2 linked regions of the Nothobranchius furzeri genome follow. The protein of the gene in region 2 purifies or fractionates together with the protein of the main gene of each other region. This does not show direct contact. Links are inferred from orthologs where the notes say so. Each region holds a gene or a part of one and is shown on either strand. Other genes may lie near its edges.

Evidence for each region. Proteins that work in one complex are often made in the same cells at the same time.
Region 1: the proteins of katna1 (region 2) and katnbl1 purify together in Homo sapiens (affinity purification with mass spectrometry; 3 studies listed by BioGRID and IntAct, counting the BioPlex papers as one, with this or other methods). This does not show direct contact. The link is inferred for Nothobranchius furzeri from reciprocal best matches to the Homo sapiens genes KATNA1 and KATNBL1.

The regions. Positions count from the first base shown.
Region 1 is NC_091742.1:12,533,161-12,537,146, forward strand, and holds the start of katnbl1 (KATNB1-like protein 1), read right to left. Parts: upstream 2,801-3,986; 5' UTR 2,663-2,800; intron 2,184-2,662; 5' UTR 2,173-2,183; coding exon 2,059-2,172; intron 1,918-2,058; coding exon 1,880-1,917; intron 1,692-1,879; coding exon 1,409-1,691; intron 1,326-1,408; coding exon 1,210-1,325; intron 1,139-1,209; coding exon 1,088-1,138; intron 954-1,087; coding exon 864-953; intron 1-863.
Region 2 is NC_091742.1:28,014,765-28,018,264, forward strand, and holds part of katna1 (katanin p60 ATPase-containing subunit A1), read right to left. Parts: intron 2,869-3,500; coding exon 2,763-2,868; intron 2,695-2,762; coding exon 2,536-2,694; intron 1-2,535. UniProt on the Homo sapiens protein: Catalytic subunit of a complex which severs microtubules in an ATP-dependent manner. Microtubule severing may promote rapid reorganization of cellular microtubule arrays and the release of microtubules from the centrosome following nucleation.

The DNA.
Region 1 (3,986 bases), about 15 Mb from region 2:
GATATCCTGATTATATGACATTCAGTCACAAATGCAACCTTAAAGCCCACTCAACGCCATTGCAAGCCTGCTGGAGAGCCCTCGCACGGACGGACGGAGTCAAACACACTTTTCTAAACACCCGTTGAACAAGACAGAGAACGTAAGCTTGTGATTGGTCAGGATGCTGCTTTTGACAACAGCACAGCCAATGGGCCCAAAACACAAAGAGAGCTGAAGATATCTAGCAGCACACAGAGCAACTTGAAGATTACTTCACGGAAAAACTCTTAAATATGAACGTTTTATTGAGGAGTATACGCAGAAAGCGTTTTACTGGTGGACCGAAATTAGGGCTGAACGATCTATCGTTTTTGGACCGAAATTGCGATTTCAAACAGCACGATCACGTGAGCGTCAAAACTGCGGTTTTTGACTGATCCAGGATCAGTAGTGCAACTATTTTTTACATCCGGGGTTTTCCCCGTGTTATGGCGGCAGCAAAAGCCAGCGCGGGGGAGGGGGGTGGGGTGTACCGTCCAGAGCTGAGCCCAACTCCACAGCTGCCAAAGCTGCATGTTCAGGTTGATTTCCCGGTTTTATGTTCCCACACACAGCGCTGCTAGAGCCGATAATAATGGCACCGTAGGTGAGCCCGGGACAGAGAGAGAGAGAATGTAGTTGAGTAGGGGAGAGAGAGACTCCTCCCACATCAGCAGGTTCAGGCTGGTTTCTAAAGCTTGGTTTACGCTTCATCAGCGCGAGTGCGGAGTTGCGCACTTTAGTTGACTTAAAAGCTCAACTTCTCTTTTAAAAACGGTTTGAATGTTTCTGACGGCACAAGCTAGCTCAAACAAGCTAAGGTGTCAGAATAATATACTTACTCTTCATGTTTACTGGAGAGAACCACTTTGACGTGAGGCATGAGGTCAACACAGCAGCCAAGTGACAAACACGGCGTTTCAGTTTGAAGGCTGATGAAACAGAAAAAAAACCACATGCGATGGAAAGCAGACACGTGAATCGCCCACCTTTCAGAGGCATAGTAAATATTAAACTTAAAACTTTAGAATGAACAACCATGAGGTAAAAGCCAAATGTGACTTACTTGTTTGTTAAGACCGGTAAGCAGTCGAGCAGAACGCTTGTGTCTTGTATTCTGGGAAGCAAAAACAATAACATGTAACTGACAAATAAACACTAAACACCAAATGTGAGTGGTGCTTTTACCTTATTAGATAGGACACCAATTCACTGGCATTTCTTCGCCATAATGTTAGTGCAACTTTAAGTCGAAGATCTCTTCCAAAAAGGATGCGAGACATAGCTTCGTGTTCCTTCGATAACTACTCAGAAACAAACAACCAACGACGGCTCAAACAGGGTGGTGTTTTTCCAACTAACACTCAGCTTCAGATCAGTTTCTCACCTCAGTGAAGTCGCTGTACTTAGAGCTGGCCCCTGCCATCTTGGAAGCCTCTGCAGAGTTCACCAGCAGCCCGTGGTTATCATAGCAGCGAATGCTCCGCACATCATCGGAGCACGACAGCTCATTTTCTTTGTTGGCCATGCCGGGGTCACGGGGACGGCCTACATCTGACAACCTGCAGTGAAGCTTTGTGCCCACCTCCACTGACGAACAACTCTTCCTCTTGCAAAACGACAACCGCTTCACTTTGCCTGGACTCTGCTTTCTGAAATGCACCGGAAATCTGCCAAAAGAGACATGGAGATTAGCGCAGGCCGTGAAAGTTTAAAAACAACGTTTAGGGTCACAGACGTTGTGATATATGGTCATGGAAAGATGTCTGAAGGTTCCCGTGGCTGGAAGGGGTGATCTGTGGCAGAATGAGTGAATGATCACATTTGGATGAACCCCACATGTGGATTAGAGACTCACCTGTTCTTATCTAATTCTTCCTTATTTTTAATTTCCACCTAAAACAAAAGGATAGGGGATGAGGCCACTCCCACAGTCTCTACTACAACACCACTGAACGGCACTTCACTGTCACCAGGACTAAACCAAACAAGTACTGCATTTAATACAACAAAGCTGTTGGTTCTGTGGCTTCATACCTGCTTCATGATCTTTTCAGTAGAAACGTGCAGACAGGTTCGCTGAAAGCCATTGGATTTATGGTTGCTGACATTAAAGGCTTTCTGTCGGCAAACATGCTTACCAAATGCCATAATAAGGGACGCTGTTGGGACAGAAAATTAGGACAATCATTGATAATAAAACTGCTGTTTCCAACGCTAACTTAACATGTTGGCTAACTTTTAGCTAGCCTCCGAGCTACGGTGCAGAGTGATCCAGATCGATAAACAGACGCTTAACTTGGAATAAACTCTGAGGCATTGGCCGCTTTAAGCTCAATATACTGCAGCAAAAGTTAAAAGCTACTTTTTTCTTCGCTAAACATGAAACAATCAAGTTAGGAAAATGGAAACACTGCATTTCTCAGCTATAAAGCTGCTTCATGCGTCAACAATGACGGTATTTTTAGCTTCGACTAATAGCATTTAGCTTAATTATGAAGAAAACACCGAGACGTGGAAAGTAACTAGCTGGGCCGCGCTAAAAGGGTTAGCATTCCACCTCAGGCAATTTACAACTTCATGCTAGGTAATTAAGAAAAGCGTATATTTCTCCATTTACATGGTAGATTTAAATACCAACCGGTTCATTTTGTTAAATCCAACAGGTCCCCTCGGGTGTGTAAATCCGAAAGCAGAAAACCAGGTAAAACTGAAAGTTCACCTCCCGTCCGTGTTAGCAAGTCTGTTTTACCATTCAAATGAATACACCACCCGGTGAGGAGGGATTGTGGGATATATTTTGGCAAAGAAACGCCACAGTTTCTGTAGTTTTAGCGGCGACTGTCGGACGTTTACACAGCAGCAGTCACTAAAGAAGTCTCCACTCTGGCGCCATCTAGCGTGGAGTAGCCCATAATGCAGCTCGATTAAGAACAGGTAGGGTGTTGCATCTAAATATGTCCCCCGTCATAAACTTTTTTTTAAATGGACAAATATACAACTAATATGGTTTATACTTTCAGAAAAAAATTCTGCTTTAAAATGTACTAAAACAGACTCCTTTTTAATCCAAATAGGAGCAAAACAAGAAGAGTTCAATTTAAAAATGTAGAATTAAACAGGGAAAAAACAAAACACTGAAAACAAAACATAACACTACAAACGAGAGTTTTTTCAAGAAGACTGAATTCATTCATCTTATTATGCATTCCTAAATCTTGTCTTTTGTCTATAAACTTTACAGATGAGATAAAAGACCCCCTCAATTCCACCAGCACGTCTTCTAGTGAGGAAGAATGGTCCGGGGACTTTGGGTGACAAAGCTTCAGGGGTGGATGAGACCTGCCCGGAGTTCCTTAAGATTCTGGATGTCGTAGGGCTGTGTTGGCTGACGAGGCTCTGCAATATCGCGTGAACATGGGGGCAGTTTCACTAGATTAGCAGACTGGGGTGGTTAAAAAGGGGGACCGCAAGATGTGTTCCAACTACAGGGAGATCACACTCCTGGGCCTCCTTGGTAAAATCTATTTTGGGGTTCTGGAGAGGAGGGTACGGCGGATTGTCGAACCTCGGATTCAGGTGGAGCAGATCTTTTAGTTATCAGGCTCCTCTCCTGTGGAACCAGCTCCCAGCTTTAGTCTGTGAGGCAGACACCTTGTCTACTTTTAAGACTAGGCTTAAAACATTTTTATTTGATAGGGCCTATGGGTAAAATCTGATGTTAACCTAGATCTGGACAAGTGGGGGAGTAGAGGGAGGTGTAGTGTACAGTCGGTAAAGACGGCTCTCCCTTGCCCTGCCTCCAACATGCCTCCATCTAAAAGGCTAGGTTATCCAGAGTTATCTCTGTAGTTATGCTGCTATAGGCTTAGACTGCTGGAGGACACACTGACCACTTTCCACACTCGACTACTTTCTTCTACAATCTGCTCTTTAACTGTATTATTTCCTGCTATTTCAGCTTT
Region 2 (3,500 bases):
TTTGTTTGAGGGAGCAAGGACCCAAAATGTATGTGGGACGCGTGTGTCCTCCCAAACACTGAAAACCAGAATGTGTGTGTGTGTGTGTGTGTGTGTACGTGAGCAACTTTCACTTTAACTTCCAAAGCACGTTCAATCACAGTAAAACTTAACCAAAACACTTCAAAACCTTAAACCCGCTTCACAAAGCTCAAGGAAAAACCAAAGATCAATCACAAATGAAACATCTAATAGTTTGTCAGCCTGGCCACAGCATATAACTTAAGATATTAAACAATGACAAAAACAAAACGGCTTACTCTTAAGATGATCCGATGGCATGTTTTGGTACGGAGGAGAGAAAGAGCCGTCTGTTAATTTGAAGCAATCGCGCAGTTTGATCGCTTGTTCGGACTATTAAGAGTAACGGGAGAAAAAGGAGATAGAGGAGAAAAAGGGAAAAAAAACTCTTCTCTGAGCAAACCAAGGCGTCCCTCGTCGTTCGCGCTGAGCAGATTTGATGGTTTTCCGCTGCTTTTCAGCAGCTCGGCCTCTTGACGTGCGTCCGGAGCCGTAGCAGAAGTCTCTTCACATCGGCTGAGACTGGGACAAAAGAGGGTTAAGTTTCGTTCTATGCTGGGCTTTAGATTCTCCAACCAGCGGGCGGGACGTGTGGAGGTTCCGGGGTTCGGCGTCGCTTTGGTGACGTCATCAAGTTGCTTCCGGCTCAGGGAATCATGGGAAATGAAGTTGTTGCTGGCACTGATTTTAATATGCCTTTTTATGTACGCTTCAGGGCGGTTTTGGCACAGACTTTTGGAGAAATTACTGCATAGTAATTTTCTCATGAAGGCAGACCCTCAACAGTTGTGTAACGTTGTGAGTCCTGTAGACCCTGTGACTGTGGGTCAGTGTGCCGACTCGGCCATCCAAGCCTCATTTGATCCGAGCTCTTATTCCTGCTTCACCAAGGGGATGACGCAGTCCACAACTCCTGAACAAGAGGAGACGCTGCGATACTTGGTTGAAAAAGTCCATCCATCCATTTTCATCTGCTTATCCGGAGTCGGGTCGCGGGGGCAGCAGCCTAAGACGAGAGGCCCAGACTTCCCTCTCCCCAGCCTTAGGATTCCCCCGGAAGAGCTGGTCCAAATGGCTGGGGAGAGGGAAGTCTGGGCCTCCCTGCTTAGGCTGCTGCCCCCGCGACCCGACCCAAAGGTGGGTCTTCAGCCTGTTCCAGAGACGAGGGCCATAAAACTCAAAAGACGCCTCGTTGTGGGTATGTGTCCTAACCTTTGGGTTAACAAGGAGGCGACTGCCAGAGGAGCAAAGAGGCCGAGAGGATTCATACAGTAAAAGCAGTTCTGCAAGATAAGAAGGTCCAAGCCCATTAAGACACTTAAAAACCAGGGCCCTCATTTATCAAGCTTGCTTACGCACAAAACGCACAAAAAGTTTTCCACGCAAACTTTGGGATTCATGAAAGAAAACTTAGCGGAAAAATGTGCGCAACTTTAAGTTGACTAAGGACCTGGCTTACGCACATGTTGGACATGGAGAGCACCTGCAGCGCTGCTGCTGAGGAGGATACCATTATGAATTCCAGCAGCATTATCACTTGTACCGCTTCGTGTTCACACAGAACAAGACCCCCCCTACTCCACGCACGCTTGCCGGTCTGAGTACTGCTGAGATCCTAACGGCGAGCGGTGGGAGATCAGAGGTGCCACACGGTCTGGCGGTGCCTAAACATCTTTTTTTTTGCCTCCACCTTCAGATAGGATCATTTTTTATATCCACCACAGATCTCTCTAAGTGATGGATGGTAAGGCCCTGGTCCGATAGGTGAGTTAGTGTTAAAATCCGTGCTGAGTTTGTAGGAGTTTATAGTTCAACTGCATCATCCACAATGCTTCCACCATCGTCACTCACCAAATGCCTTGCAGACATTAGGACCTGGCTTTCTTCCAACTTCCTGAAGCTGAACTCTGACAAAACTGAAGCGGGGAGGCCACATAGCTCTCAGTGGCAACAGAAACACTACTGTCACATCTAGATCAGGGTAAGAGCCTTTGTATTATTCCAGACAGCACCCTGACCTACCTTTCCCATATCAGTTCTGTCACTCCATCAGCTTACTACCACTTGCGAAATATTAACCGTCTACGTCCATCTCTGTCTAATAACTCAATTCAATTCAAAGATACTTTATTAATCCCAGAGGGAAATTAGAGTTTCAGTACACACAATTCAGAGATCAGACATACATGGGCAAGACGTGGGTGGGTGGGTCGGTCGCCCTCTCCCTCCCTCACACACACACACACACACACACACACACAAACACACACACAAACACACACACACACACACACACACACACACACAAACACACACACACACACACACACACACACACACACACACACACACACACACACACACACACACACACACACACACACACACACACACACACACACACACACACACACAAACACACACACAAACACACACACACACACACACACACACACACAAAGTAGTCCAGCTCACCATCTCAAACAGGAGACGTACAAGTTTTTCCGATTCTCCTCGGTACTTGGAGGTAAGAGTGGAGGACGAGACATTGAAAAACGTGGTTCTGCATTCAGTAGCAACTGCTTTTGCCAAAAGGGTTTTTCCGGTCCCTGGAGGTCCCACCATCAGCACCCCCTGAGGAAGAGAAGAACACCCATGTAAACTCAGATCTGATAAAACACTTCTGCAGCGAAAGGCAGCACCTTCCAAGGTCTCCGGATGCCTTTGAAGAAAGCTGGCATCCACATGGGCAGCACGACAGCTTCCTTCAGGAGCTTTTTAGCATCTTCCAAGTCTGCAATGTCATCCCTAAAAAGAGTGGAAATCACTTAGATCTGACAGCTATGACACGAGGAGTAACCATAGTCAACGTGAACCAGCAGCTGGCGCCTCCTACGACAGCAGTTGCCCTCTAGAGCAGCTGGTGCCGCCTATGACAGCAGTTGCCCTCTAGAGTAGCAGGCGCCCTCTACGACAGCAGTTGCCCTCTAGAGCAGCTGGAGCCCTCTACGACAGCAGATGCCCTCTAGAGCAGCTGGCACCCCCTATGACCGCAGATACCCTCTAGAGCAGCTGGCGCCCTCTATGACAGCAGATGCCAGATGCCCTCTAGAGCAGCTGGCACCCCCTATGACCGCAGATACCCTCTAGAGCAGCTGGCGCCCTCTACAACAGCAGATGCCCTCTAGAGCAGCTGGCGCCCTCTACGACAGCAGATGCCCTCTAGAGCAGCTGGCGCCCCCTACGACCGCAGATGCTCTCTAGAGCAGCTGGCGCCCCCTATGACCGCAGATACCCTCTAGAGCAGCTGGAGCCCTCTACGACAGCAGATGCCCTCTAGAGCAGCTGGCGCCCCCTACGACAGCAGATGCCCTCTAGAGCAGCTGGCGCCCCCTACGACCGCAGATGCCCTCTAGAGCAGCTGGCGCCCCCTACGACCG